7 linked regions of the Xenopus tropicalis genome follow. The protein of the gene in region 2 interacts with the protein of the main gene of each other region in a biochemical or structural test. Links are inferred from orthologs where the notes say so. Each region holds a gene or a part of one and is shown on either strand. Other genes may lie near its edges.

Evidence for each region.
Region 1: of the proteins of cdk2 (region 2) and h1-0, one has a biochemical effect on the other in vitro, tested with the Homo sapiens proteins (11 studies listed by BioGRID and IntAct). The link is inferred for Xenopus tropicalis from reciprocal best matches to the Homo sapiens genes CDK2 and H1-0.
Region 3: of the proteins of cdk2 (region 2) and poll, one has a biochemical effect on the other in vitro, tested with the Homo sapiens proteins (2 studies listed by BioGRID). The link is inferred for Xenopus tropicalis from reciprocal best matches to the Homo sapiens genes CDK2 and POLL.
Region 4: of the proteins of cdk2 (region 2) and wee1, one has a biochemical effect on the other in vitro, tested with the Homo sapiens proteins (3 studies listed by BioGRID, with this or other methods). The link is inferred for Xenopus tropicalis from reciprocal best matches to the Homo sapiens genes CDK2 and WEE1.
Region 5: of the proteins of cdk2 (region 2) and id2, one has a biochemical effect on the other in vitro, tested with the Homo sapiens proteins (2 studies listed by BioGRID). The link is inferred for Xenopus tropicalis from reciprocal best matches to the Homo sapiens genes CDK2 and ID2.
Region 6: of the proteins of cdk2 (region 2) and rbl1, one has a biochemical effect on the other in vitro, tested with the Homo sapiens proteins (5 studies listed by BioGRID, with this or other methods). The link is inferred for Xenopus tropicalis from reciprocal best matches to the Homo sapiens genes CDK2 and RBL1.
Region 7: of the proteins of cdk2 (region 2) and ppp2ca, one has a biochemical effect on the other in vitro, tested with the Homo sapiens proteins (2 studies listed by BioGRID). The link is inferred for Xenopus tropicalis from reciprocal best matches to the Homo sapiens genes CDK2 and PPP2CA.

The regions. Positions count from the first base shown.
Region 1 is NC_030680.2:122,560,782-122,564,929, forward strand, and holds h1-0 (histone H1.0), read right to left. Parts: upstream 2,631-4,148; 5' UTR 2,194-2,630; coding exon 1,603-2,193; 3' UTR 523-1,602; downstream 1-522. UniProt on the Homo sapiens protein: Histones H1 are necessary for the condensation of nucleosome chains into higher-order structures. The histones H1.0 are found in cells that are in terminal stages of differentiation or that have low rates of cell division.
Region 2 is NC_030678.2:137,886,400-137,890,581, reverse strand, and holds the start of cdk2 (cyclin-dependent kinase 2), read left to right. Parts: upstream 1-1,266; 5' UTR 1,267-1,342; coding exon 1,343-1,458; intron 1,459-4,182. UniProt on the Homo sapiens protein: Serine/threonine-protein kinase involved in the control of the cell cycle; essential for meiosis, but dispensable for mitosis. Phosphorylates CABLES1, CTNNB1, CDK2AP2, ERCC6, NBN, USP37, p53/TP53, NPM1, CDK7, RB1, BRCA2, MYC, NPAT, EZH2.
Region 3 is NC_030683.2:30,778,591-30,782,825, forward strand, and holds the start of poll (DNA polymerase lambda), read right to left. Parts: upstream 2,909-4,235; 5' UTR 2,879-2,908; intron 2,474-2,878; exon of another isoform or gene 2,079-2,473; intron 1,088-2,078; 5' UTR 980-1,087; intron 1-979. Other genes in the region: protein DPCD, read left to right, coding at 3,191-3,254.
Region 4 is NC_030680.2:7,008,048-7,012,269, reverse strand, and holds the start of wee1 (wee1-like protein kinase), read right to left. Parts: upstream 2,818-4,222; 5' UTR 2,454-2,817; coding exon 2,415-2,453; intron 1-2,414. UniProt on the Homo sapiens protein: Acts as a negative regulator of entry into mitosis (G2 to M transition) by protecting the nucleus from cytoplasmically activated cyclin B1-complexed CDK1 before the onset of mitosis by mediating phosphorylation of CDK1 on 'Tyr-15'.
Region 5 is NC_030681.2:137,437,196-137,441,326, reverse strand, and holds the start of id2 (DNA-binding protein inhibitor ID-2), read right to left. Parts: upstream 2,887-4,131; 5' UTR 2,789-2,886; coding exon 2,444-2,788; intron 1,515-2,443; coding exon 1,461-1,514; 3' UTR 1,457-1,460; intron 1-1,456. UniProt on the Homo sapiens protein: Transcriptional regulator (lacking a basic DNA binding domain) which negatively regulates the basic helix-loop-helix (bHLH) transcription factors by forming heterodimers and inhibiting their DNA binding and transcriptional activity.
Region 6 is NC_030686.2:42,366,246-42,369,943, forward strand, and holds part of rbl1 (retinoblastoma-like protein 1), read left to right. Parts: intron 1-344; coding exon 345-493; intron 494-590; coding exon 591-640; intron 641-1,376; coding exon 1,377-1,563; intron 1,564-2,409; coding exon 2,410-2,689; intron 2,690-2,859; coding exon 2,860-2,963; intron 2,964-3,360; coding exon 3,361-3,498; intron 3,499-3,667; coding exon 3,668-3,698. UniProt on the Homo sapiens protein: Key regulator of entry into cell division. Directly involved in heterochromatin formation by maintaining overall chromatin structure and, in particular, that of constitutive heterochromatin by stabilizing histone methylation.
Region 7 is NC_030679.2:26,542,967-26,547,352, reverse strand, and holds the start of ppp2ca (serine/threonine-protein phosphatase 2A catalytic subunit alpha isoform), read right to left. Parts: upstream 2,896-4,386; 5' UTR 2,598-2,895; coding exon 2,496-2,597; intron 1-2,495. UniProt on the Homo sapiens protein: Catalytic subunit of protein phosphatase 2A (PP2A), a serine/threonine phosphatase involved in the regulation of a wide variety of enzymes, signal transduction pathways, and cellular events.

The sequences.
Region 1 (4,148 bases), on a different chromosome or scaffold from region 2:
TGTGTGTTGCAGGCATCTTTATAAGACACCAGTAAAATACAGTCTCATGGAAGTTAACATATTTTTCTGTATACGCTGGAAAAGAACAAAGAAAAGAATCTTCTTACATGTGCAACAAGGTCCTGAGGTTTCCAGCAGCGATACTTTATTGCAGTGAACTGTCTCTTTAATGTAATGCAAATTATCGTCTATACTTTATATAAACCTATTTTTGATAAGCCTGTTTAATCTCTCCCACAATAGAAATCCCTTAATATTAAGAACAGGACATTGCAGAACTACATCTCCCAATATCCCTTGACTTGAGCTACTGAACGCATGCTGGAGATTTCACTGTTTTGAGGTCCAATCACTTTCCTGCTTAGTTATTCTAATAAACTATATTAACCAAAAAGTATTATATAGCAGTTTCAAACAAATAACCTCATCAACCAAACAAATTCAAAACACAACCTTCTGAAACTAAAATATTAAGAGTTAAAGAATGATTTTGCAGTGAAATAAGCAAAAAAGACAGAGATACACGTTTTGGCAATTTTATTTTCAAAGTCATGATTACAAAGGATTAATCCTAATCTACAAAGCAAAACACATGAATAAAATATTTCTATTTGTATTTCATGGCCACTTGTCACTTGCTCGATTAGTTCTCACCGATACAGAAATAAATGTTATGGTTCACTGCTTACTGACCATTTTCAGCACAAATGATACTGAAAAGGATTAGCTGCACCATTCACAGTACGTGAACGACGCCTAATACCCTCAAAGCTTGGTTGACAAGTACAAATACAGTCTTCAGTTGGAAGATATTTGTATATCTTAATAGCTAATCATTTCTCCATAGAGAGAACATTTAAAATGTTGCTGAAAAGGTATCAAAATCTTCTAGGCATTGCACTTGCTGCTGCATAAGTACAGTTAGTAAATCATTCCTGAACAAACGTTTGTATGTTTAAAAAAAAAAAAAAAATGGATCTCGTGTGAATATATGAAGAGTTCAAACTTACAGGGGGGTGATCCATTGCCTGTCCAGCAAAAAAGTGCTCTAGTCTACTGCTGACTCATTCCTACAAATAAAAAAACTACAAAAATATCAGTAGACAATAACCAAACTAATTGTACTATGAATCATATTTAAACTACCATTTAAATATTAAGTTATAAGCAACATTTTAGGGTCAAGATCGTCTGATTTCTGACAATAATGTAGCACAATCACACCGAACAATATTTAAAGATATCATTATTCCCATTTAAGAACAGGTAGATTAATAATAATTAAGCCAAGCTCTGTGCAATGATATCGTTAAAGCTTGTCCTAAAATGGCTAGGAAACACAAAATCATTGAAAATGTTAAGCCCAGTTTGATAACTTCTTCCTTGGGAAAAAAATTCCTACATTTTAACACCAAAATAATAAAAAAAAATGAAGCAGTTAAATCTTGCTTAATTCCCCTAGTGCAGGCAAAGTCAAATACACAAATTTGTCTTGGGAATTGCAGGGAAGCTGATCATCATTATAAAGTTGCACTGGAAAAAGTGAAGGTTATAAAACTATGTACACAAGTTGTTAGGAGCTGTCCAGAGACTGCAGGAGCTTTACTTCTTCCGTCCAGATTTCTTTGGGCTGGCTTTTGCCTTTGGTTTGGAGGGCTTGGCCTTCTTTACTCTGGATGCCCTCACTGGCTTGGCTTTGACAGTTTTTGTCTTTTTGGCTTTTTTAGGAGAAGGTGCAGGCTTTTTCTTAGCTGGTTTCTTTACTTTCTTCTCTGCCACTTTAGGTTTCTTGGCCTTGGCAGGAGACTTTGCAGCTTTTTTGGGCTTAGCAGCTTTTTTGGGTGAAGCTGCTTTTTTAATTTCCTTTTTAGGCTTCTTGGCTGGCTTCTTGCCCTCATCTGCCTTGGCTAGCCGGAAAGATCCAGAGGCACCCACTCCTTTGGTCTGTTTGAGGGTGCCAGAAGTCACCAGTCTCTTAATAGACAGTTTGATTTGCGAGTCTGCATTCTCTCCAACTTTATAGTGGTTTTTGATGTACTTCTGGATTGACTGACGCGATGAACCAGAACGACTCTTCTCTGCTTGCACTGCAGCCAATATCATGTCAGAATACTTAGGGTGGTCAGTTGCTTTCTTTGATGCCTTTGATCGCTTGGGCTTGCCAGCTGGAGCAGCAGCTGAATTCTCTGTCATGTTTAACCTTCACTACAGGTGTAGGCTTAAGAATGAAACTAGTGGTGCAGCAGGAGGTATTTGCCAAGATAAGTCTTTCCTGGGCAACCTGTAGCCAAGGTGCAAGAGATGCTTGATACTCAGGCTAGAATCCAATGGCCAATAAGAGCCCTGGAACAAAGTTCTCGGAAATAAACTGTAGTGACCTTTCCAAATCCAGTCTCTCCTCCCACTGAAGTTCTCCAAATTCTTTATTGTTTAATTGTTTTTTTCTGCCCCAGGTATTATGAGTTTGCACCTGTTTTCTTGTCAGTTGCGCATATGTTGTAGTATAAATGTCAAGCCCTGGCAATGGCTTCTCTGTAAGCTTCCCTTCAGTGAAGGATCCCGTCCCTTGTGCGCCCTGTTAGCTGTGCGGAGCTATTGTAGCTCGGTGCCAGCCGCACTCGCTCTCCTCAGCACCTTCCCTCCCTGTGTTTGCCCCTCCCGCCGGTTCCCGCCTTTTATTTGCTGGGGTCGGACCGAGTTGAGGACTAGCGGCTGCGGGCGGGATGAGGCAGACATGGCGCCGCTCCGCAACTATCTGTGTTTCTTCCCGAACACAAAGTGGCCATTCCCTGAGCCCCTGTAAGCGCTGAGGCCGCCCTGGCTATAGGCTCTGGAAGCTCAGTCTCTGGTGTGTAAAGCCTCGGCTTCTCTCAGTTGCAGGAGCCCCTGAAGGCTGCGGGAGAGCCCCGAAACCAGCCGAGCTATTGCACAAATCACACACATTTCGTCCTTTGTGCCCCCCGAGTGCCGGCCCCTGGGGCCCCCATGTGGGCGAGAGTCGGGCAGGGGGTGGCTGCATCCCTGATCTTTAGCTGGGCGTCGGAAAGTCTCCGCTGAGCCCACTCCTGCCCTAACTGGGGTGCCCAAAAGCTACCCCAACTAACACAGGGATCTCCGAGCTTAGTATGTCCATCAGGGAGAGGTGGGAGGATCTGGAGCCCTCCTGGGGGACCCGGCAACAGCATGGGGGGTCCCCCCTAACCGTGTGGCAGTGGCACCCCCAATTTCCCTATTTCTGCCCATTACACTGATACTTTGCAAATTATTAACGAAACTTTTCAGCTCACTTTTGTCTGCTGTTTCATGGCTCCATTGACTGTGCTGGGAGCAGGAGTTCAGAAGAGGGGAACAAAGGGGGGCCCTAATGATAATTGTACGTGCTAATGCCCCCCAAAACCTACCCAGAAACGTATTAACCCGTGATTTGCCAAATATCTCGCTTTCTGCCAGCAACTTCAGCCGCCATATGAAATGTATCAGAGTTGTTTACTTGGCTGGCACTGCTGATGGAAAAGCTGTGTTGGCTCTGGGTTGTAGCACCCACAATGCACCCCAGATCCACTGGGCAGGATCCACTGACCTTACCCAACACATTCATTGTAACAATACAGAATAAACCCGTTTATGTTTCAGGGGGTTACGTGTAATAATACTTGTAATTGTTACTATTGTGGCTCTCCTAGGCTTGTGGGGTGCAAATGGAAGTTACATTCGCCCCAGTCAATAGTGACAGCAGAGCCCCCAAACCTTTAGCCATTTCTATTTAGAGCGGATATCACATTTATATAAGTGCTTCTTCCATAATATCAGCAGGTATCCTGTTACACAAACTGTCAGGGTGTAACACCCCCAACATTTCAACGGGGGTCAGAAGAGGACAAGCCACATTGTGTGTGCTACTTAGTGTAACAGCTTGCTGCGCTGCTATAGGCACCCAGGTGCTGCTGGGATCCCTGCTATGTCCTGGGTGCTATTTAACCCCTTCCTGTGCCACTTGTGCGTATTGCTAAGTACTTGACACGCCTGTGGTAGGAGAAATAATGATTTCAATCCCCCCCTTCTTGTACAAAACAAATAAAGGATGCGGGATTTTAATCCGAGCCTCTCTGCCTCCATGACTAACACACAGGGAGATTAAGCAGATTTTA
Region 2 (4,182 bases):
CCTGCTGCTTGCTCCATCCTCATACAGCCCACTCCTGCTGCTTGCTCCATCCTCATACAGCCCACTCCTGCTGCCTACTCCCTGCTACATCCTCCCGATCACCCCCACCGTGTCCTCCCGTCACTGCGATAAGGAAGACAGGTAATAGCCAGGGGTGAGGACGCAGCGAGGGCCAGGTAAATTACCTTTGGGGGCAGGATCCGGCCTGTGGCCGTAGTTTGAGGATCCCTGGTCTACAGGCTGTATAACAACAAATTCTGGCCTCTCAAATAAATAAATTGGCTCAGGTAGTTAAGCTTTTAATTTAACAATTACCATGTGGCTATCATTTTGTATGTATATCTTTATTTATAAAGCGCTACTTATGTACGCAGTGCTGTACAGTAGAATACATTAATACAAACAGGGTGTTAATAAGATAATAAATACAAAGTATAATAATAAATACAGATAAATACAGCAGCAATAAGTTAAGAGTTGAGGACACGAGAGGAAGGAGGTCCCTGCCCCGTAGAGCTTACAATCTATATGGGAGGGTAACTAACAGACACAAATAGGCAAATATAAGTGCTGTAGGTCACAGTGGGTGACACTACAATATAAGTTTTAACACAGCTCACAAAAAAGCCTAATTGTGTTACAGTTTTAAATACATACTCGCCGTGTACATTCTAAAATGAATGTCACAGACCTCCTATCCACAACATCCCTTGCAATAGGCTTAAAGCTATTGTCTAGCGCAGTGATCCCCAACCAACGGCCCAGGAGTAACATGTTGCTCCCCAACCCCTTGGATGTTGCTCTCAGTGGCCCTAAAGCAGGTGCTTATTTTTAAATTCCTGGCTTAGAAGCAAGTTTTGGTTGGGTAAAACCAGATGTACTGCCACCTGTAGGCTGCCAGTCCACATAGGGGCTACCAAATAGCCAATCATACTCCTTATTTGGCACCCCAGGTACATTTCCATGCTTGTGTTGCTCCTCAATTCTTTATAAATTTGAATGTGGCTCATGGGTTAAAAAGGTTGGGGGTCCCTGGTCTAGCGGTTAAAGTCAATTTATGTTTCAAATCTGCAACTAACAAAGTGCATAAGTGCGTAACAACACACTCAACTACCCGGGAAAACAAGAAAAGGCGGCTTAAGGCACACTGACGTCACAAGATGTCCCAGAGGAGAGCGGGAGTAGAAGGCATTTACCCAATAAGAAATTCGGGGGCGTGGCCTACTAGTGGCGGGAAGTTTTGTGGAGGCAGCTTTGTAGGGATCCCGGAAGTTCGTCCTGTTATTGAGTCCGATTTGGTTCCAATTTGTGGGACTGAATTTTACAGTAGTGGCGGGGGGCCATGGAGAATTTCCAGAAGGTGGAGAAGATCGGGGAGGGCACGTACGGGGTGGTGTACAAAGCGCGGAACCGAGAGACCGGGGAGATTGTGGCTCTGAAAAAGATTCGCTTGGACACGTGAGTCGCCCCGGGGGCAGAAGTTGTGTTGTTTCCCCAGGAGCTGGGGCTGGGGCTGGGGCTGGGGCTGGGGGGATGTGCCGGGGATCCGGAGTTTGGGAGTAAGGAACATTACACAGCATGAAGGGGGAGCCAGCAGGGCAGGTGTGATGGCTGTGTAAATGGGGACGTGTCAGGGGTGTCCCAGGGAACATATGTGACATTATGTGACATAAGCAGCTAATAATTAGCCCATAGCAGCCAGTGCCTGACTAGTGCAGAGGGATAGTATTGGGCAGGGATTGTAGGTAAACATGAGTGTGATTATCTATAGAACCATGACATTTCCTACTGCAGCAGAAGGAAACAATCAGCAGATACAGTATGGCAGAGCCCAGTGGGAAATACAACACAAGGGCAATATGAATAATAATGGTCACCCAAGTGATGGTACATGGGTCCTGGCCCACAGTCCACCACTGTTATGTTCCAGAATGTTTTATTGTTCAACAACCTCCATTATTACAATCATGTTTAAAGCACCAACATATTCTACAATATTGACACACTGACAAACTGGTACATTGGGTGCAATGAGGCTCTGGCCATACACAGGTTTTAAGGTGAACTCCACCTAGATCAGTGGTTCCCAACCTCCCTAATGCCACAACCCTTTAATACAGCTCCTCATGTTGTGTTGACCCCCAACCATAGAGGAGCGGTGTCTCGTTTCGACCACTAAAGGGGTCCCGACCCACAGGTTGAGAACCGCAGACCTAGACACAACTTAAAATTGTGGAAAACTAAACTTAATTTCAAGCAACTTTGCAATATACATCAATTATAAAACATGCAGCCCTTTTATGATTTTTAATGTAATATGGTTTGGAACAGTTCCCTAAGCCTGGCCCTATGTTCTTCTGCTGATCTGGCTGACTACTTTGGGATTCAAAAAAATGTAACAAGTCAACTGTCCTCACTCCAAATCCCACAATTCCCTGCACATGTGATGTCAATAAGGAAAGGAATATGAGGATTTTGGGTTTTGTAGATTGCATGCTGTCTGTAAGCTGTGGGGAAGTTTTTACAGTTTGCAACATCAATAAAGAGAAGAACTGTTTTGAAGCTGGATTTCAGCATTTAACAAAATGGTATTTATTCATACATTGATACATATATCACCCTGCTGGGTGTGTATTATAAGAAACATATATCCAAAAACCATGAAGTTGGTCCATCCTCTGCTGCTATAATATATAATAGTCTTCTGGTAAGGCTTTGCATTTGATGTTGAAATTGACCTTCAACGGAATTTCTAGGATTCACTTCCGTTGAGCTACAAGGGTATTAATGAGGTTGGGCGCTGAAGCTGGGTGATCAGACCTGGCTCACAGCAAGTGTCCAACTCATTCCAACACTTTTACAGTTAGGAGAGGAAGAAGTTGCATAGAGCCCTAACCTTAACCTATCTCAGCAAATGATTGATCACTATCTGATTATTTAATGTACACACTGTTCTCTTGATGGAAAACATGATTGCTGTAATTGTGATGATATTGTTGATTGCATTGTAATAACTTCCTTCAATCTACTGCTATGACAGTGTCAAACAGAAATGGTTGAAGGTTTTATTGCAACTGCAGCTGTCCTTTTGCTTTAAGCATTCCATGTAGTCTCTGGGTGCCTTTTCCTGGCTCAGACACTTAAGCAGCGTGTGATTGATAATAAGAGTCTTTTCTAACTTGTGACTGAAGCATCTGTCAGAATGAGGTTATATGGTATGAAAGCTACTGTATCAAACCTAAGGGTACTGGCACATGAGGTGAGATAAGTCATAAACGATAAATTTGTGCTACCTTAGGCTACTAATCTCCCCAAAATGCTTTCCAATCGGCAATAATGTAGATCGTCAATGGGAAAATGTATGCTGTACTTTGTTTTTCTGGACTGGAAAAACAAAGCACCACACATGTTTTCCCAGCAGTTATTATGGTCACAGTGCAAGGAATTCCTTCCGTAGTCAGTCAGTCACAAGTTAGAACAGCTTAATCGGAAGTGTCAGAAGGTGTTCCACCAAGAATCTTAAGGTGTCCATATGCCATCGGATCTGATTGTTTAGGAAGGTTGTCAAAGCAGCAGATCTTTCCAGCTAATGCGAGTGGAGTAATGAAATTACAGCGATGGCAATAGGAACCATTGGACTGAGGACTGCATCAATGAACCAATGCACTCCCCACTCTGACAAGAAAATGAAACCTGCCTGATTGACATCTGGCCAATTTTAGGCCAGATATTGGTCGGAGAGGCCTGTCAGCTGCTGCATTGGTCTGAAGGATAATTCTCAATAACCATGTAGCAGTTAGTGATTCCAGATGATTGTCACTCAAATTAATAGGAGTGATTTGCACCATTTATCAACTTTGAGAAAAACCCTCCAGAATTGTTACATTTACCAGTGCCTTTAATCTAATTAATTGTACTCCCAGTTAGAAACTTTCCTGTGCTTCCCAACATTCACATGCAAACACGTTCTTTGGTACAATTCATTGCGCTGTAATATATTTTATATTTTATCTGGCGCAAGTAAACAAATTGTTTTTCTGCCTGTGTAAACTAGATACTGTTTAAAGCAAATGAAAAATTTCATTTTTTTCTATGACTTGTTTTTAGTTAAAGATAGCAATTACAAATACACTTTTGCTTGAACATTCAAGGAGTTTTTATGTTTTGTATTGGTTTGTCAGT
Region 3 (4,235 bases), on a different chromosome or scaffold from region 2:
TGAACGACTGAATAAAAACATAAGTACTAAAAAGTACAAATAATAATAAAAATGTAGCTTCACAGGGAAATAGTTTTTTAGTAACTGATCCTCATCCAATAGCTGGAAAAAGGTATAAAAAGGGAGGCAAATTATTAAAATACTATAAAAACCACAGCATGCTAAAAGTTAATCCATTTTCTCCCATTACACAAAAGAACACATACTGCTAGTAGGAGGAAGAAACTGCTATTTCATTTAGTAAAAGCAACCTATCATTTGCCCCTGAAATTCCCACACAATTAAATCTCAGTTTAGCATTTTCCTGCTTGTCAATGAGCCCAAAGAGACCAATATGCCCCCTGGAATAGTAACAGTTCATTTTGGATATGAAAAATATCATAAAGTCTTGTTTTATTAAAGGAAAACTAAAGCTTAACTAAAGAGGTAGGCTAGAAATGTTGTACATTATGTTTTTTGCTTCTGTACCAGCCCAAGGCACCCACAGCCCTTTAGCAAAGAAGATATGTGCCACTGAAGATGCCCCAGTAGCCCCCAATCTTCTGCTGATTCCCTGCACATGCTCTGTGCTGCTGTCACCTACCTGAGCTTAGGGACCGATTGACATTATACTGTATATACTATATATATATATATATGATATAAATGTCACAATATAAGGCTGATTAGTAATTAACACAGATGATCTGAAACTCTGAAACCATCAGCCCATTAATTTTGGACGACCCCTAAGCTTAGCTTCTCAACAGCTGCCCAGAGTGCACTGAGCATGTGCAGTGTCGCAGACACTTCTAACAGAAGTGTCCAGTATGGCCACCCCCTGTGACAACTTTAAAGGACTGGATTATTACTACTACAGAGATGTTGAACATTTAGGCTGGTTCAATACGTTCTTTATATAAAATATGGCATGTCTGGCCATATTCATTTTTAGGGTTTAGTTCTTTTTTAAAAGCAATACTGTATGAGTAGTACTTACAAGGAAAACCTCTTGCAAAGTTAGTGTCTCCTCAGTGTCTCCTTCAGACTAGCGTTTAAGCAAAATTAAGGGCAATTTGGCAAGAGTGCAGTCAAGTAGCTTCAATTCCTATGGTAAAACAAAAACATTATTTTGGTTATATATTCATTATTATATTTATTACCTGTCATTCATATGAAGAGTTGGGTGTAACCTACAATTTTACCAGATCCAACTAACATTTTATCATCTGAATTTACATTCACTAAAGCAAGAACTGCCAACTCTTCTTTTAAAAGTGGATATGGAATAGAAATCCTGTATGGTTTTCTAATAATTACAGCAGCAGACTGAACTACTTATAGTGCAACCAGGCAATCTGCATGTAAATTTACTCTGAAACATGTGTTATATTAAATTTGTGTTGCGGGTTCCCAGTCTGTACACTATGGGGCTGATTTACTAATCCACGAACGTCCGAAAAGCGTCTGAATGTGTTTTTTTCGTAATGATCTGTATTTTGCGACTTTTTCGATCGCTCAATACGAAAAAGTTGCGACAATTCGCAAAAGTCGTAAAGGCTATGAAAAAGTCACGACAATTCACTAAAGTCATAATGGCTATGAAAAAGTCGCGACAATTCACGAAAGTCATAATGGCTATGAAAAAGTCGCGACAATTCACGAAAGTCATAATGGCTATGAAAAAGTCACGACAATTCACGAAAGTCATAATGGCTATGAAAAAGTTGCGACAATTCACAAAAGTCATAATGGCTATGAAAAAGACGCGACAATTCACGAAATTTGTAATGGCTATAATAAAGTCGCGACAATTCGCGCAAGTCATAACGGTTACGAAAAAGTCGCGACAATTTACGAAAAAAATCACAAAAAATACGAAAAAGTCGCAAAATGTTAGTTTTCCAATCCGAATTTTTCTCATTCGGATTCGTGGATTAGTAAATCAGCCCCTATATGTGGCTTTAACTCGCAGACTGGGGTTACCTGATGATGGGATTTCCAGCCAAAACTATCAACCCGGGCAGAGTCATTAAGAAAGGACTGTGTTTCTATGTAGCATCTGCCTGATGGGAGTTTCCTGCCAGAAATATCATTACCTGGCCAAACCCTGAGTAGATACAGGTAGGGAGATCATCGCTTTTGCCCTGTGCATCGGCCATTAGGCTGCAGACTGCCAAGAGAGGCAGAGTTGGCTTACAATATCAACCCACATATGGCCAGCTTACTGGCAATGGCACAGAGAGACTGGCAGTGGGGAGGCAGTAAAACTCACAATTGCCCTCTACTTTTTTTTATGGTATCGTCTGGACTGGTGATTACTGTTAACCCCAATGGGAGGCATTTCTTGACCTCCCATTGACCAATAAAGTCAATGGAGCTTTTTCCACCAAAGGGAATCTCCCCATTGCCCTCAGAGTCAGTGGGCTTATATATAGGAACCAGTGGCTAGGGTTACCACAAAATGAACCCAGGGCTGCTAAATCAATCTTTTCGTCCTTCTAGTAAAATTGGCATTATTCCCCCACCCTACCCTACCCCACCCCACCCCACCCCAAGCAATAAACAGTAGCAAATAATATAAGTACACTTAATAACAGACCATTGTGATTGCCTAATGTTCTGCTATACAAACAGCTACACTAAGGAAGGTAATCAATACTTTCTCTTATGGAACCCAAACCCTAAGTAACAGTACGGTTTAATGTGTGATTATGTGTTATTTTCTTTCCCCAGCAGCTCTCCAGCCATCTCGGAGGGAGATGTAGTTCCACGATTCTATATATCACTGCTATAGATCACTGCGCCCAAATAGTTACATGGAAAATACACACACAGCGCCCCAAACAGAGAAACAAACAGTAACTTATCGCTTTGTCCCCCCCTCACATTCACTTACTAGAGTTCAACACCACATCTATAAACATACACGGACATTTAATTAGGTCACTTCCGTATCCGGATGACTCGGAAGTGGTCACCGGAGTCCATTGCTTAATGAGCCCGATAATAAGAGAATATATAATATCCCGTTACAGCAGTAGCTTTGTAGAGACGTTTTATATTTTGGGATAGGTATGTTGATAGGTTTTGTGTACACGTTACAAGGCAGTCCGCTGCGTTACTATGGCAACTCAGGTCGGTTTGCCTAAGAGGCCGGCAAGCTTTGGGTTGCTATAGTAACTCGGCCCCGCGTGTGACAGGTTCCAAGATGGCGCTTCCAAGCTGGCTGGAGAGTCTGAAGGCTGCGCAGAAAACGTGCATTTTACAGGATGGTGAGTGTTCTTGTGGGAACGCAGTCACATCGGCTTGGGCTTTAATGCTGTGAGAAAGATATAGAGCTAACGTTAACCATATTCATTCATTCAACCTCCTCAATAACCAAATCCCATGCTTTATTTGTATAGCGCCTACACAGATTATATTCAATACACTGCCCTGGTGGAGTTTAAAATCTTAGGCCATAAACATGTAAACTATGTCCAGCCAGTAGCCTGGTAAAGCTGAACAAACTCGCAGGGGAACTGCTGAACTGATAACTGAGGATACATAAGCAGAAATTCAGGAGGGCTGTGATTGGCTATTTGGTAGCCCCTATGTGGGCTGGCAGCCAAGAGAAGGCTCTGTGTGGCTTTACACTGGGTTTTTATGCAACCAAAACTTGCCTCCAAGTCAATAATTCAAAAATAAGCCCCTGCTTTGAGGCCACTGGGAGTAACACCCATGTTGCTCACAGGACACTGGCTGGGGATAAGGTTTTAGACCAAATTGTTAGGTTCTGTCAGTTAATAGTCCCATAACCAAAGATGATTTACAACAGGACCTGCAGGTTTAGTTCAATAAAGGACAACTAATCCCATGCATAATAACAAGCATATAACAAACAAGTCTCATATTTGATCTCCCCCCAATCAAATCCTTCTATTCTTACCTAGGGGCTTAATGTCTCATTTTTTTTTTTTAGTTTAGGGCGAGGTCACACAAAGCGCATACCCACTTCTCTCAATCCTGCGTTTTTTCGGCCAGGCTGAGAGAAGCGGATCTGCTTTCTTGTGCTTCTCTGTGTGCCTGCATTAAAGGTTATGGCAACTGCCTGAGTGTGGGCACACGGGAAAAAAACCCAAAAGCATAGGGAAGCAGATCTGCTTCTCTCAGCCTGTTTGAAAAACGTAGGGTTGAGAGAAGGATATATACACTTAGGGGCTGATTTACTAACCCACGAATCCGACCCGAATTGGAAAAGTTCCGACTTGAAA
Region 4 (4,222 bases), on a different chromosome or scaffold from region 2:
TTCCTCACTGTCACCCCCCATTCTGCCCCTGTATGTAACATTCCTCACTGTCACCCCCCATTCTGCCCCTGTATGTAACATTCCTTCACTGTCTCCCCCCATTCTGCCCCTGTATGTAACATTCCTTTACTTAAACCCCCGTATGTAACATTCCTTCACTGTCACCCCCTGTATGTAACATTCCTTCACTGTCTCCCCCTGTATGTAACATTCCTTCACTGTCTCCCCCTGTATGTAACATTCCTTCACTGTCACCCCCCGTATGTAACATTCCTTTACTTAAACCCCTGTATGTAACATTCCTTTACTGTCACCCCCTGTATGTAACATTCCTTCACTGTCACCCCCCGTATGTAACATTCCTTTACTTAAACCCCCGTATGTAACATTCCTTCACTGTCACCCCCGTATGTAACATTCCTTCACTGTCACCCCCTGTATGTAACATTCCTTTACTTAAACCCCCGTATGTAACATTCCTTCACTGTCACCCCCGTATGTAACATTCCTTCACTGTCACCCCCCGTATGTAACATTCCTTTACTTAAACCCCCGTATGTAACATTCCTTCACTGTCACCCCCGTATGTAACATTCCTTCACTGTCACCCCCTGTATGTAACATTCCTTCACTGTCACCCCCTGTATGTAACATTCCTTCACTGTCTCCCCCTGTATGTAACATTCCTTCACCGTATGTAACATTCCTTTACTTAAACCCCCGTATGTAACATTCCTTCACTGTCACCCCCGTATGTAACATTCCTTCACTGTCACCCCCTGTATGTAACATTCCTTTACTTAAACCCCTGTATGTAACATTCCTTTACTGTCACCCCCGTATGTAACATTCCTTCACTGTCACCCCCGTATGTAGCATTCCTTCACTGTCACCCCCGTATGTAACATTCCTTCACTGTCACCCCCGTATGTAACATTCCTTCACTGTCACCCCCTGTATGTAACATTCCTTTACTTAAACCCCTGTATGTAACATTCCTTTACTGTCACCCCCTATGTAACATTCCTTCACTGTCACCCCCTGTATGTAACATTCCTTCACTGTCACCCCCATATGTAACATTCCTTCACTGTCTCCCCCTGTATGTAACATTCCTTCACTGTCTCCCCCTGTATGTAACATTCCTTTACTGTCACCCCCGTATGTAACATTCCTTCACTGTCACCCCCGTATGTAACATTCCTTTACTGTCACCCCCTGTATGTAACATTCCTTTACTTAAACCCCTGTATGTAACATTCCTTCACTGTCACCCCCGTATGTAACATTCCTTCACTGTCACCCCCTGTATGTAACATTCCTTCACTGTCTCCCCCTGTATGTAACATTCCTTTACTGTCACCCCCGTATGTAACATTCCTTCACTGTCACCCCCTGTATGTAACATTCCTTCACTGTCACCCCCTGTATGTAACATTCCTTTACTGTCACCCCCTGTATGTAACATTCCTTTACTTAAACCCCTGTATGTAACATTCCTTCACTGTCACCCCCTGTATGTAACATTCCTTCACTGTCACCCCCGTATGTAACATTCCTTCACTGTCACCCCCGTATGTAACATTCCTTTACTGTCACCCCCTGTATGTAACATTCCTTTACTGTCACCCCCTGTATGTAACATTCCTTCACTGTCACCCCCTGTATGTAACATTCCTTCACTGTCACCCCCTGTATGTAACATTCCTTCACTGTCACCCCCGTATGTAACATTCCTTCACTGTCACCCCCTGTGTGTAACATTCCTTCACTGTCACCCCCTGTGTGTAACATTCCTTCACTGTCACCCCCTGTGTGTAACATTCCTTCACTGTCACCCCCTGTGTGTAACATTCCTTCACTGTCACCCCCTGTATGTAACATTCCTTCACTGTCACCCCCTGTGTGTAACATTCCTTCACTGTCACCCCCTGTGTGTAACATTCCTTCACTGTCACCCCCTGTGTGTAACATTCCTTTACTGACACCCCCTGTATGTAACATTCCTTTACTGACACCCCCCTGTATGTAACATTCCTTCACTGTCACCCCCTGTGTGTAACATTCCTTCACTGTCACCCCCTGTGTGTAACATTCCTTCACTGTCACCCCCTGTGTGTAACATTCCTTTACTGACACCCCCTGTATGTAACATTCCTTTACTGACACCCCCCTGTATGTAACATTCCTTCACTGTCACCCCCTGTATGTAACATTCCTTTACTGACACCCCCCTGTATGTAACATTCCTTCACTGTCACCCCCTGTATGTAACATTCCTTTACTGACACCCCCCTGTATGTAACATTCCTTCACTGTCACCCCCTGTATGTAACATTTCCTACACTATATACACACACACACACACACACACACACACAATATCCAGCCCCTATAATGTCTCGCACACTTACCTTTTGTGGTTCATCGGTGACACCATTAGGGAACCCCATTGCGTTGCCCTGATAGCCCCTCTTCTCCCTTAGTTGGCAGGACGTGGGGGGGATTTATGGAAGAGTCTGATAGGTGGGTCCGAGTAAGATAACAATGGGATCCTGCGGTTCCCCCTATAATAAGCTGGGTTCCTGGGGTAATTGATTCCAGCCAGTCCGTTATATCTCTGTAAATCCCAATAAAGAAAGGCAGTAGCCCCTGATCCCGGCAGCAGCTGAATGATCTGCCCCAAGTCTCCGGCTCTTGTCCCCGGACACAAATGCCTGTTGGTTCCACCTGGGATCCTGCTAAAAACCAACAACTTGGGACACAAAGTGACAGCCCCCAGCAGCTGCTCCTCCGGTGGCCAGTGATCAGCAGACACCTAGCCACGGGCTAATTGAACTTGGAGAGAATCAATGGGATCCCTAAATCCACTTACTAGTTCGTTACAGGGAGCAGACACACCCTATAGGTAGAATTATATTAAAGCCCCTGCCCCACACTTATGTCATTAGCCACAGTCTGACTCAGCATAATACCCATTCATAATCCTTCACAATATCTGCCCCACAAAGCCACCCTTTGCCTCTAGGGTGGGATGCACCAGAACCTTATAAGGCTGCCCCTGCTGGTAAATTAATGGTTTGGTCCATTTGGTGCTTGCACATACACCGGGCAACCAGGTTGGCCAATTTGTATATGGGAGACCATCATGATTATTGGGGTTAATTAAACTCATGTCTGAGTCATTGTGGAATTAAATGTAACACAGTGCCATCTCATTAGCAATTTCCGGCCCAAAGGCCATTTAATTGGATTGGGTCAACTTGGCCACCTATGGGTGCTGATGGTAATGGAAAGGCTTAGCCAGGGTTGTTGGGTGCCAGTGCTTCTCTGGCATGGATAGCTCATCACTGATTAATAACCCCCAGCAAGTTATACCAGCACTTCTGAATAAACAGTAAGATCAGCCTGCCTTGCCACAAGAGCTTGCACTCTAGCATTAAAGCTACATTTTATCATATTGCCAATTAGTTATTTATGTCAATATATTTCATAGAATCTACAAAAAGCAATGCAATGTTAAATGGGATAAAAAGTCACATAAATTGAACATCCTAAATTATGTTACATGGTAACAGTGGAGACTGCATTGTGATTGGCCAGATCTTACTTCCTATTTTATATCTCATCCACAGTAATGTGTTAATGTCAACTGGGACACTGGCCTGGGATGGGTTTGGTAGCACTAGGTAGGTACCTAATATATAGGGGCAGAGACAGGGGAAAGTGTTGGAAGGGTTACTGCCTGCCCTGCTCTCATTTCCCTACAGAAATAGGGGTTGGTAGCACTAGGTAGGTACCTAATATATAGGGGCAGAGACAGGGGAAAGTGTTGGAAGGGTTACTGCCTGCCCTGCTCTCATTTCCCTACAGAAATAGGGGTTGGTAGCACTAGGTAGGTACCTAATATATAGGGGCAGAGACAGGGGAAAGTGTTGGAAGGGTTACTGCCTGCCCTGCTCTCATTTCCCTACAGAAATAGGGGTTGGTAGCACTAGGTAGGTACCTAATATATAGGGGCAGAGACAGGGGAAAGAGTTGGAAGGGTTACTGCCTGCCCTGCTCTCATTTCCCTACAGAAATAGGGGTTGGTAGCACTAGGTAGGTCCCTAATATATAGGGGCAGAGACAGGGGAAAGAGTTGGAAGGGTTACTGCCTGCCCTGCTCTCATTTCCCTACAGAAATAGGGGTTGGTAGCACTAGGTAGGTACCTAATATATA
Region 5 (4,131 bases), on a different chromosome or scaffold from region 2:
CTCACACACACCCAACTCTATACCCCGGAATGGGGCTCACACACACCCAACTCTATACCCCGGCATGGGGCTCACACACGCTCACACACACACACACACACACACACACACACACCTCTATACCCCGGCATGGGACTCACACCTCTATACCCCGGCATGGGACGCACACCTCTATACCCTGGCATGGGACTCACACACATACACACCTCTATACCCCGACATGGGGCTCACACTCACACCTCTATACCCCTACATGGGGCTCACACACACACACCTCTATACCCTGGCATGGGACTCACACACACACACACCTCTATACCCCGACATGGGGCTCATACTCACACCTCTATACCCCTACATGGGGCTCACACACACCTCTATACCCTGGCATGGGACTCACACACACACACACACCTCTATACCCCGACATGGGGCTCATACTCACACCTCTATACCCCTACATGGGGCTCACACACACACACCTCTATACCCCTGCATGGGGCTCACACACACACACACACCTCTATACCCCTGCATGGGGCTCACACACACACACACACCTCTATACCCCTGCATGGGGCTCACACACACACACCTCTATAACCCTGCATGGGGCTCACACACACTCACCTACCTCTATACCCCGTCATGGGGCTCACACACACCCAACTCTGTACCCCTACATGGGGCTCACACACACCTACCTCTATACCCCTACATGGGGCTCACACACACCTCTATAACCCTGCATGGGGCTCACACTCACACACACACACACACACACACACCTACCTCTATACCCCGGCATGGGGCTCACACACACCCAACTCTGTACCCTGGCATGGGGCTCACACACACCCATTCAGATAGCAAAGTTATAGGGGCTTGCGGTGCTTTGCCCTCACTTGCCTGCAGAGCTGACAGCGCTGTACATTCAGAACTTTTACCCGAGTGCCGACCCTCCAGCTCCTGAACTAAAACTAACACAGCTCCTGAACTATAACTAACACAGCTCCTGAACTATAACTAACACAGCTCCTGAACTATAACTAACACAGCTCCTGAACTATAACTAACACAGCTCCTGAACTATAACTAACACAGCTCCTGAACTATAACTAACACAGCTCCTGAACTATAACTAACACAGCTCCTGAACTATAACTAACACAGCTCCTGAACTATAACTAACACAGCTCCTGAACTATAACTAACACAGCTCCTGAACTATAACTAACACAGCTCCTGAACTATAACTAACACAGCTCCTGAACTATAACTAACACAGCTCCTGAACTATAACTAACAGCTCCTGACAGCCACAGAGGAGCAGTTCAGCCGCTACTACAGACATTGGTACATAAGTGCCAAGGCCCGTATAATACCAGCTAGCAGCCTGGCACCCCACTAAGTAACAACCATCCCCCCCTTCACTTAATTAAAGTACTTAACTCACCATTTTAAGGACAAAGGGATTTGCTCTCGTCTGTGAACTCTGCCGATAATTCAGCCGCCTGGAAGGAGAGAGGGCACATGAGTACGGGCAGTGCCAGGGGGCACGGAATGGGAAGGGGCAGGCAGGGCCGTAAGTTCAGGGTAAGGTATAGTAGATCTTGATTGGAGTGGGGGTAAAGTTGGGCAAAGAGCATGGCTAATAAGGGCTTAGAGCACTTACTCACGGCTACCAACAGGCATGGACTGGCAGAGAGAATGGCATCCCTTACCGTAATTACATTCGTGAGAAGGGGAGGCATTTCCAGGGGGCACAGGGCGCCAACTTTAGACGCTCCGGGAATGTGTGGCATTAGGGGCAGCGAGTATGGGGGGGGGGGAAGGGTGAGCAGATTTGGGGGCTATGGGAGGGATATTGGGAGCAGTAAGTATGTAGGAGAAGGGAAGGCATTGTGGGGGCAGTGGGTGTTGATATAAAGGTATGATGGTGGGTATGAACAGGGAGTTATAATGGTGGGCATGATATACAGGTATTATGGCTCTAATGACAGGTATGACAGCTGTAGGCAAGCCTAGGTGGGCAATGGGTTAGCATAGGTGGGCAAAGGGTTAGCAAGGGTGGGCAAGGGGTAAGCCTAGGTGGGCAAGGGGTAAGCCTAGGTGGGCAAGGGGTAAGCCTAGGTGGGCAAGGGGTAAGCCTAGGTGGGCAAGGGGTAAGCCTAGGTGGGCAATGGGTAAGCCTAGGTGGGCAATGGGTAAGCCTAGGTGGGCAATGGGTAAGTCTGGGTGGGCAAAGGGTAAGTATAGGTGGGCAATGGGTAAGCCTAGGTGGGCAATGGGTAAGTCTAGGTGGGCAATGGGTAAGCATAGGTGGGCAATGGGTAAGCCTAGGTGGGCAATGGGTAAGCTAGGTGGGCAATGGGTAAGCCTAGGTGGGCAATGGGTAAGCCTAGGTGGGCAATGGGTATGACGGCTTTAGGGTGCCCCTTACCTGCAGTGACAGGATGCTGATGTCTGTGTTTAGGGCGGTCAGGGGGGTCCGGGACGTGCTGCCCCCCACCCGGGCATGATGGAGACTGACAATGCTGGGGTGGGAATCCAGGGCGAGCTGCAGGTCCAGGATATAGTCGATGACGTGCTGGAGGATCTCCATCTTGCTGACCTTCTTGTTCTGGGGAATACTGGGCACCAGTTCCTTCAGCTTAGAGTAACAATCATTCATATTGTACAAGAGGCTCATCGGGTCATCCACTGGCGTTTTGCTCCGAGCTATGCCCAGGCTGTGTTCCGTTAGGCTGCTTTTTCGGACAGACCTTACTGGGCTGAATGCTTTCATGGTACCGTTTAGGTAGGAATGGATCGCTCCCACCGCGCACACACACACTCTAATATAACCGCAGCACAACCAGCTAACGCCGTACGCCTCTCCTAATCCGCTCAGAATGAGTCCCGCCGCGTTTCCCTCCGCTTTATATAGTGCCCAGAGCAGCCACTGACAAGTAGGCGGACTCCCTGCCTCCCGATTGGCTTAAAGACTTTGCACTGAATCCCAAGTCTCTTCCGCATTCTCAACCAATGAGCGGTGGCTGGAGGCGTGGCTTTTTCATCCCAGCTGTGCTGGTAAATTGCAGCTTCCAACGCTTGGCACAGGGTAGGAATGTCCCGCTGGGTGCAATGATTTGGCTGGGGCCACCAGGGCAGAGGGTCAGATGCCAGCAAGCCACTGCCTCTGCTGCTGCAGAACCACTTTCATTCTGTAACAGGGACACGACTGTCACATCCTCCAGCTGTTGCTGAATACAACTCCCAGCATCCTCTTTGGACAGTGGAAGAATTAGGTGATAGTGATGCTGCAGGTATGGCTATAGCTGTGCAACTAAGGTGCTGTGACCAGGGGTGCAAGGGAGTTGATTTTAGGGATGGGTGTTTGGGCATTGGCACAGTTTTCAGTATTATTTACAAGAGGAAGAAAAGAAGCTTCTTTCTAAATATGTTCAACTTCCTCCTGTTGAAGCTGCATAGAATAATCTGGCTGTGCAAAGGAATGTCTAACCCATATTGTTTGTTTGTATGGCAGTGCCAACCAGATAACACTGGCACATACTTGCAAGAAATGTAAAGGTGGCCATGGAGAGACTGATCTGAACATTCAATATACAGCGCTGTAGAATATGGTGATTTTTCATGGGTGTGAGAAATATGGAATGGCCATTGGGCTGGGTAGACTGACTGGTCAGATCATTGCAATGATCCTATACAATGTATTGGAATTGTCTGTAATGGGGGCTTTAACTGAGACTGTTGTTGACCTACAGCTTCCTGGATGCAGTCTGTCTAAGCATGTTGGGAGTTAGTATTCAGCAACAGCTGGACAGCTACATTCTGGAGCTCTCTTGTGTAATCGGCCATCCTGATTGTGGGGGGATTCTGGGAATTGTAGTTCAGCAGCAGCTAGTTTTAACAATACTGTTTTAATGATACTGTTTATTTTCCTTGAAGTCGGCGCCTCAGGTGTCAACAATGCAACAGGAAACAAAGCAATGGCAGAAGGGAGAGGCCCCTGCTCAGAAGAGCTTGCACTCTACCAGAGGCACATCAAGGCTCCCCACGCAGGAGAAGAGACTGCTTTATTTTCCTGCACTCTGTGAGGTTAATCTGAATCCATTTATCTCATTCTGG
Region 6 (3,698 bases), on a different chromosome or scaffold from region 2:
AGTTTTCAGTGGGTGTAAAATTGAAAAGGATTTAAGGCTAAACTCCATGACTCCAACAAGACTCACGATCCGACTTAAATTACAAATTATGGAGATCAGATTTGGTACAGAATCTTGTGCTGTTGTGTGGTGTTGAACGACCAGATCGCAAAATCTGATCCAAATCTCCTGTGTAGCTTAGCCCTTAGAAAACCATTATTCTGAGGGATTTACTCATTGCCACCCATGTCGGTGGCTTACACGGGAACATTTGCTGCTTGTTTAACATGGAGGTGAGGGGTAGAATTGAGGTTCATGAACTGCTGCCACTTTGTATGATGCTGAATTCCTCTGTGCCTCTCCAGCAAAGCTCCCTGCCCTTGACCCCAGCTCAGAGGATGCCCCGTGTATCATTAGAGCACTGTGTGAGCTGTACGATGGAATATTTGTGGAAGCCAAGGGGATAAAAGAGCATTACTTCAAGCCATACATATCAAAGCTTTATGATAAAAAGGTAACTAAACAGACGCCCATCCTACTGCACTGTAAATAAAGCTCATTACTAAATGACTTATTTTATCTTGATTAATTGTCTTTTTTTTTTTTTACAGATTTTAAAAGGAGCCTGCTTATTGGATGTATCTAGTTTCACAGATAACAAGTGAGTAATTTATCTTTTAAGTTGTAGTGTAAAGGTCCCCATACACGGGCCAATTCTAGCTGTCGATATGGGTCCCTTAGACAGATTCGGCAGCTAATCGGCCCGTGTATGGGGACTACCGACGGGCCTGCCCGACCAATATCTGGCCTGAAATCGGCCAGATATCGATCGGGCAGGTTAAAAATCTAGTCTGATCGGGGACCACATCGGCTTGTTGATGCGGTTCCCGGACTGACTTTGCCTATACCCGTCGTTATAGTTCGATAGAATTAGCCTGGATTCTACTGATATCACCCACCCGTAGGTGGGGGATATCAGGAGAAGATCCGCTCGCTTGACAACATCGCCAAGCGAGTGGATCTTAAGGTGTATGGGGGACCATAACCTCCAGGGGGCATGGTGCACAATCAGTTTGGAGAGGCACTATTGTATTTAACCAGATTGGTTAGCCATACCGCTACTCTTCTGATCTAGTGCTGCCATATTGGACTGTAGTCATTCAGATTGGTTAACTGCTATGTTTGCGGGTGGGACCTGTCTCTCTGGGTGATTTTGCATTATTCGCCACCCTAAACTGACTAAACAAAATTGCCCTATTTGTGGGCAGCCAGATCTCTGGAGTACTGATGTAAGAATTTGTATGTTATTTCCTTGCAGTAATTTGTAATAAAACCTTTTGGACTGAGATGATCAAATAAACTTTCTATAAACGAATTGTATCCCTTCTTTCCCACAGTAAATCCTTAAATAAGGAGTATGAAGAGTACGTCCTTACTAAGGGAGACTTTGATGAGAGGGTGTTTCTGGGTGTAGATGCAGAAGAGGAGATTGGAAGTCCCAGAAAATTTGTTGTGGAATTTCCCATGGGAATCTGCACTCCACGGAAACAAATGGAAAGCAACCTGCAGCAACATTTTGAGAGGGTAACATTGGCTAAATGGTTCCACAATGAAAAATCATTACTTCTAAAAATATCCACTGTTCTTTTGAGTTAAGGGGGTCAATCCTAAAGGGTTAATTAAGGTTAGGTTTGGCTTGAGTGATTATTTGTGCCCTGGGTACCCCTGGAACTACAGCAGGGTGACTGTTACCCCAATGTTTCTATATATCTGTAACCTTGTTATGGGCTAAGGGGGCCCAGCCTGAAGGCCAGTTAGGGGGGGATTTGGGGTGAGTGCTTATTTGTGCCCTGGGTACCCCTGGAACTATAGCGGGGTGACTGTTACCCCAATGTTTCTATATATCTGTAACCTTGTTATGGGCTAAGGGGGCCCAGCCTGAAGGCCAGATAGGGGGGGATTTGGGGTGAGTGCTTATTTGTGCCCTGGGTACCCCTGGAACTATAGCAGGGTGACTGTTACCCCAATGTTTCTATATATCTGTAACCTTGTTATGGGCTAAGGGGGCCCAGCCTGAAGGCCAGTTAGGGTGGGATTTGGGGTGAGTGATTATTTGTGCCCTGGGTACCCCTGGAACTATAGCAGGGTGACTGTTACCCCAATGTTTCTATATATCTGTAGCCTTGTTATGGGCTAAGGGGGCTCAGCCTGAAGGCCAGTTAGGGGGGGATTTGGGGTGAGTGCTTATTTGTGCCCTGGGTACCCCTGGAACTATAGCGGGGTGACTGTTACCCCAATGTTTCTATATATCTGTAACCTTGTTATGAGCTAAGGGGGCCCAGCCTGAAGGCCAGTTAGGGGGAGATTTCTGTTACACCTGTCTATGGTCGCAGCAATATAACACTTGGAATCTTTCACTTCATTTTGCAGAAAAGGTCTTTTGCACCATCCACTCCTCTGACTGGTAGAGGTTACCTGAAGGAGGAGCCAACTGTAATCACGCCTGTTTCATCGGCAACACAGTGTGTGAGCAGGTTACAGAGCATGGTGGCAGGGCTCAGAAATGCTCCAAGTGAGCAGCTGATCGAAGTTTTCAAGTCCTGTGTTAGAAACCCATTAGAGAATGTATTGAATATTGTCCGAGATATCGGACGTCGATTCTGCCATCACTATACACAATCCACAGAAGACCAGCCTGGGTCTCATATTGGTAAGAATCCATACAGATCATTTGTTTCATTATAGCTTTTAGTCAAATTTATGGGCAATAATTTTTCATATACCTACATTATTTGTTGTGTTTGTGTAAGCTAATTAATTTTTGCTCAAATGTGAAATTTGTCACGCTTTTTTTTTTTTTTTTTTTTTTTTTTTTTTAAGATTTTGCAGTCAATCGGTGGAAACTGGCTGAAATTTTGTACTTTAAAGTACTAGAGACCATAGTTGTCCAGGAAAGCAAGAGACTTCATGGGAAAGATTTGACGGTAAGAAATAAAAGATCTCATTGGGATTGTCTTAACGAGATCCACAGGCACCGGCCCATGAGAAAAATACTCCCAGCACATTGCCCTGGCATCTTTTATCATAAGAGCTTCATTCTTTTGCCATTACCCCTGCACAATATACTACATTTTGGCCCTGGCCAAGGGAAAAATACTTGGCAATCTATCCTAACATTTTGCCCCTGCCCCACAGTGAAATATAATTTACATGTCATTTTAAAAGTGTTTTAAAAACATAAGGATACCTGTGGCTTCAAATTAAGTACATATTGTGACGCTCAGATAATACGGGGTAGCTGGATTCTTATTGGATTTTATAATCTAGCCAATGGCTGCTTATTTCCAGTGTCTCATTGTATTCTCCCTTTATTTTTTTCAGGCTCTACTAGAGCAGGACATCTTTCATCAGTCACTGATTGCCTGCTGTCTGGAAATTGTGCTATTTGCTTACAGTTCTCCCAGAACCTTCCCCTGGACCATTGAAGTACTTAATCTGAGTGCTTTCTACTTCTACAAAGTAAGTTCTGGAAAACACCACAGCTGAATAAAACTAAATATTAAAAGTGCATGTTTTCTACTTGCGTCAAATGGAAAATTAAGTTGAACTCTTGGATGGTTATTGGGGTGGGAAGTCCCCCACAATTCCTTCCCGTGACACTTTTATTTCCAACCTTAATCCCTTTTAGGTAATAGAAGTGTTTATTCGTTCCGAAGATG
Region 7 (4,386 bases), on a different chromosome or scaffold from region 2:
ATACACACTCTAGACAGCACTAACAGGCTTACCCAGTTATTCATCATTAATTTGGCCTCTGCCCTTATGACGCTTTATCGTCCTAGTTGCTTATTTATTAAAACCACCGTTTTATATTTTAAAGTTACTTGTAAATGTAATGGAGAAGCATGTGTATCCATTCATGCAGACAATGAAAGAGAAACTATATTTAAATTTAATAACAATTGCAGTTAAAAAAAAATAAAACCACTAAAAGCTGCAATTTATGTATATTTGAAAGCGGTTTATAGTTATTTTATATTTCATAGTAAAGTTTCTTACATGAAGATATCCTTTTAATTAAGGAATTGCGAGTATGGAGGCCCATTAATCCTGCCCCATATCCATGTACTATGCATAGTCTGTCAGTTTTTAGCTAGAGAAGGCTTGAAAAAGAAAGAGTTGCAGCTACATTTGCTTGAATAACCGTCACGTGATGAGAAAAGAAAAGATTGCTTTATGTGGAAAACAGTGACAAACACTTATTATTGCCTTTCCCGTGGTGCAGTGGTAGAGACTTCTCTAAGCAATGCAGCTGCATTGTACATCCCAGGCAGGCAGATCTTTCTGCACACTACACAACACTGTTGTAAATCTGCGAATAGACATGACTTTTGGACAGAGGGGGATTTAATTAAGCTGATGGAGGTAAAAGCAGCACTGCCCATACAGTCAATAAGCCACACTTCTCCACAGAAAGGGTCTACTTTGAGCTTCTCTGTCCCTTTGCCAATACTGTGCATCCCTAGTACCAAATGGACCATGCCGGCAAAAAGCAATCACAGGTTATTGGCCAGCTAACAATGGATTTCTCACAGCATGCCTATAAGTAGCCTCTCTGTATCCCAGCTGTAACACCAATTGGTTTGGCTGCATTTTTCTACTTAAGCAACAGCTGAAAGGCCCACATGAACAACCCGCTTCTTGTACAGCCTTAAAAATGGCTGGCATAGAGCAGAAAATGAATGTGAGCTCAAAAAAGGCTCATAGGAGCAGAATCAAACTTTAAGAATCCTTTGATAGACACTTCAGCCTTAAGTTTATAGTCCTGGCACTAAGAAAATTGACTTTTATTTATAGATTTCTGAACAATTCTAAAATATTTGTATGCACTTCCTAGCAGTGCTGTTTTCATAAAATTGCACGTTTTACATGAGCTTCGGAGATTCTTGGCAAAGTTGCCATACCTTGTACATAATTTACCAGAGTGAGTAACTGTGTGGCCCGCCCTATTAGATGCAGCTAGCTACAACTATGGCCATGGAAAACACACTGGAGCATGATTGCACCACAATATTGGCCAATGTACTCAATCACTGTCCTGCGGCCCAACATCAGCTGAATCTGGTACTAACCGCAGCTAGCTACATCAGGAGGGACCACAAGGGACAACATCATTCTTATAATCCCTGGGCGTAAATAGAAAAACATCAAAAAGCATACCACCGCCAACCCTGTGAACTCCTTTTAGATTGCAAGCTCTATTGGGCAGGGCCCTCTTTACCTCTTGTGTCAGTGATTGGCTGCTTTGTATGTAAATCTGCATGTTTGATATATATACCTATTTATTGTACTGCCACTTATATGTGATTATAAATAGAAAGCTCTGCATCTATTCATTTTAATGAGAGATGTTCAAATGAATGTTACCTAGCTCAGTGGCTGGCCAACCTATACAGCAGCACACAAGGAATTCCCACCACTCTTTTGGACTGTGGCATCTCCACCAACACATTTTCCCAACAAGCCATAGATCAGGATTACGTTAGCCCGTGGTTCTGGCAGAATATGGCCTTACTTTACTACAAGGAGCCGTAAAGCACAACGTTCACTGTACCAAGAATCCCCATGACCCCTGCATTCCCTGTAACATTCCAAGCAAATGGGAGCGCGCCGCCGGCCGAGGCGCGCACTAGTAGTGACACGTCCTGGCGTGCATGCGCATTCCTGCGGGGGGTGGAGCAGCCGCCATCTTATGAACGACAAAAGGCGCCATGAGCTTAGCAGCCCGAGCCTGCGCCCACAGAGCCTCTCGCCGGGAGTGGGACGTGCCGAGTGCAGCTCACACATGGGCGCTGCTGTACAGCAAACACTACAGATACTATAGCCCCTGTACGCTAGCCCCCCGGTGTCCGTAACACGCCTTCCCACATATATTAGGGCGATAGACATATATAGTACGTTTCATGTGTCTACCAACCAGCCTACATGTTGTATAAAGTGTATAGCAACCCGTAATAGCGAAAGATACGGCCTCCATACGGAATAATGCGTTCCCCAATACGGAATAATGATCTCCCCCGCAAGACCTACGTGCGCTCCATGTTACTGCCCACAAACCGATATGACGTTAGGAACTACCTACTACTATTGATGGCTGTAGCTCCACAGCAGGCTAATATATATGTATAGTTCTAAAATAATCACGGCTGCTACCAGCAGTCTATTTAAAGTTGCCATTGCGCCACCCGTACCTTCTCGCACAGAGTCTTGACCTGGTTCTCCGATAGCTGCTTGCACTCATTCAGCTGCTCGATCCACTGATCCAACTCCTTCGTGAACGCCTTTTCATCCATGGCTGTCTAAGGAAAAGACCGGCGGCCTAGGGAGGCAGTCACCGGGTATGCCCTCGGAGGGACCAAGAGCCAATGAATGGCGTCAGAAAACCAACAAGTCGACCGCTGCTGGCAGGGGTGGGGACCGTCAGTTGAATAAAATACGGAACCCAGGGGAGTGCCGGGATCTCAGGCGACAGTATCTAAACGGACACAGTCCAGAGGGCTTCAAAGCGCCTCGTAAGAGGTACAGAGCTAGTAGAGGTAATAAAGAAATAACGTTATCAGACAGTCCGCTGTAATTTTGCAGCTACGGCTCCTTCTTTCTCAGAGTGTACTGTACAGTATAATGGCCGCCGTGACGTCACGAACCTCTCCTTTATGGCTCCACACCTCCTCCTCAGCCAGTTCCTTTGCTTCTTCGCCGTACGTCACTTCCTAGAGATGTCATCGGAAGCTGCGCTCATCCCCACGCCCTTATGGATCCGAGTCTAGTCGCATGGGCGTGGCGATAAATGATAGCGCTCAAGTGCAGTCATTGAGAGAAAAGCCTGGAGGGTGGATGGTTTATTGCAGGCCCAGTGACACACACAGACAAAATCGAAGCAATAGCTATTGATTTAATTATTATATATTATAATCATATTCTTAGGTCTCTATACCAGGGGTCGGGAACCTTATTGACTGAGAGAGCCATAAACACCACATATTTTAAAATGTAATTCCGTGAGAGCCATACAATGGCCAACGGGAGCTAGGCCGAAGGCCGCGGATGCTGTGGGGCAAGGTAGGGTGGGTGTCATCTTTAGCTGTTCAATATGGCTTGTTAGTGGTATAACTAGAGGGCTACCTAGCACAGTGCACAGTTGGCTTCTCTTTGTAGCCCCAACAGAGACATACTGGTCACATTTTATTTTCAATTCAAGCGTGACAGGTTTCTGCTCCAATGTCCCTCTCCGTTCCCTGGGCCCTGGTTCAAGTGCAACCTGGTAAGGATGCCGGACGCGGAGGAGGGCGTGGCCTGCGCTTGGCGGATAGAAGATGTGTTCTAAGGCATAGAACATGTCTTCTATCCGCTAAGCGCAGGCCACGCTCCACATTATTTTTTTTTATTAAAGATTTGGCAGGGAGCCAGATGCAGCCATCAAGAGCCACATCTGGCTCCCGAGCCGTAGGTTCCCTACCCCTGCTCTATACAATTAAAGCGTTTCTTTCTTCCAAATCTGCAAACAAAGCGTTGCGTTGTTAATTGACTAATAATTTCATATCTAGAGGAATCAAACCTATTTTGCAAGTAAAAATAATACAACTCATTTGGAAAGCCTGATATCGACACAGTGTAGGGTATTTTACGGTAAAATACCAGTAAGGTGGTAACCTGACTAGAGTGTGTATAGTTTTATGGGGTTTCCTTATGTGTATGTGTTAAACATCTACTACACCAATGATTCTCAAGCTTCCTAATGCCGCGACCCTTTCATACAGTTCCTCATGTTGTGGTGACCCCCAACCATAAAATTATTCCTAGGACCATTTGAAATGTGTGTTTTCCGATGGTCTTGGCGACCCCTGTGAAATAGTCCCGACCCACAGGTTGAGAACCACTGACCTACAGTAAAGTGAATTTTCAAAGCACCAGAAATCAGCATACTAGATTGCAAGACAAAAATGCCTGGGTCAGTAAACTTACCAGAGAAAAAACATTTTTAAAAAGTTTACATTCAGATGAACTCAAAATAGGTAAATATGGGCAAATACATCATTTTTACACCTATATGCTTGTTTTTATTATTACTCCAAACTTCAAATC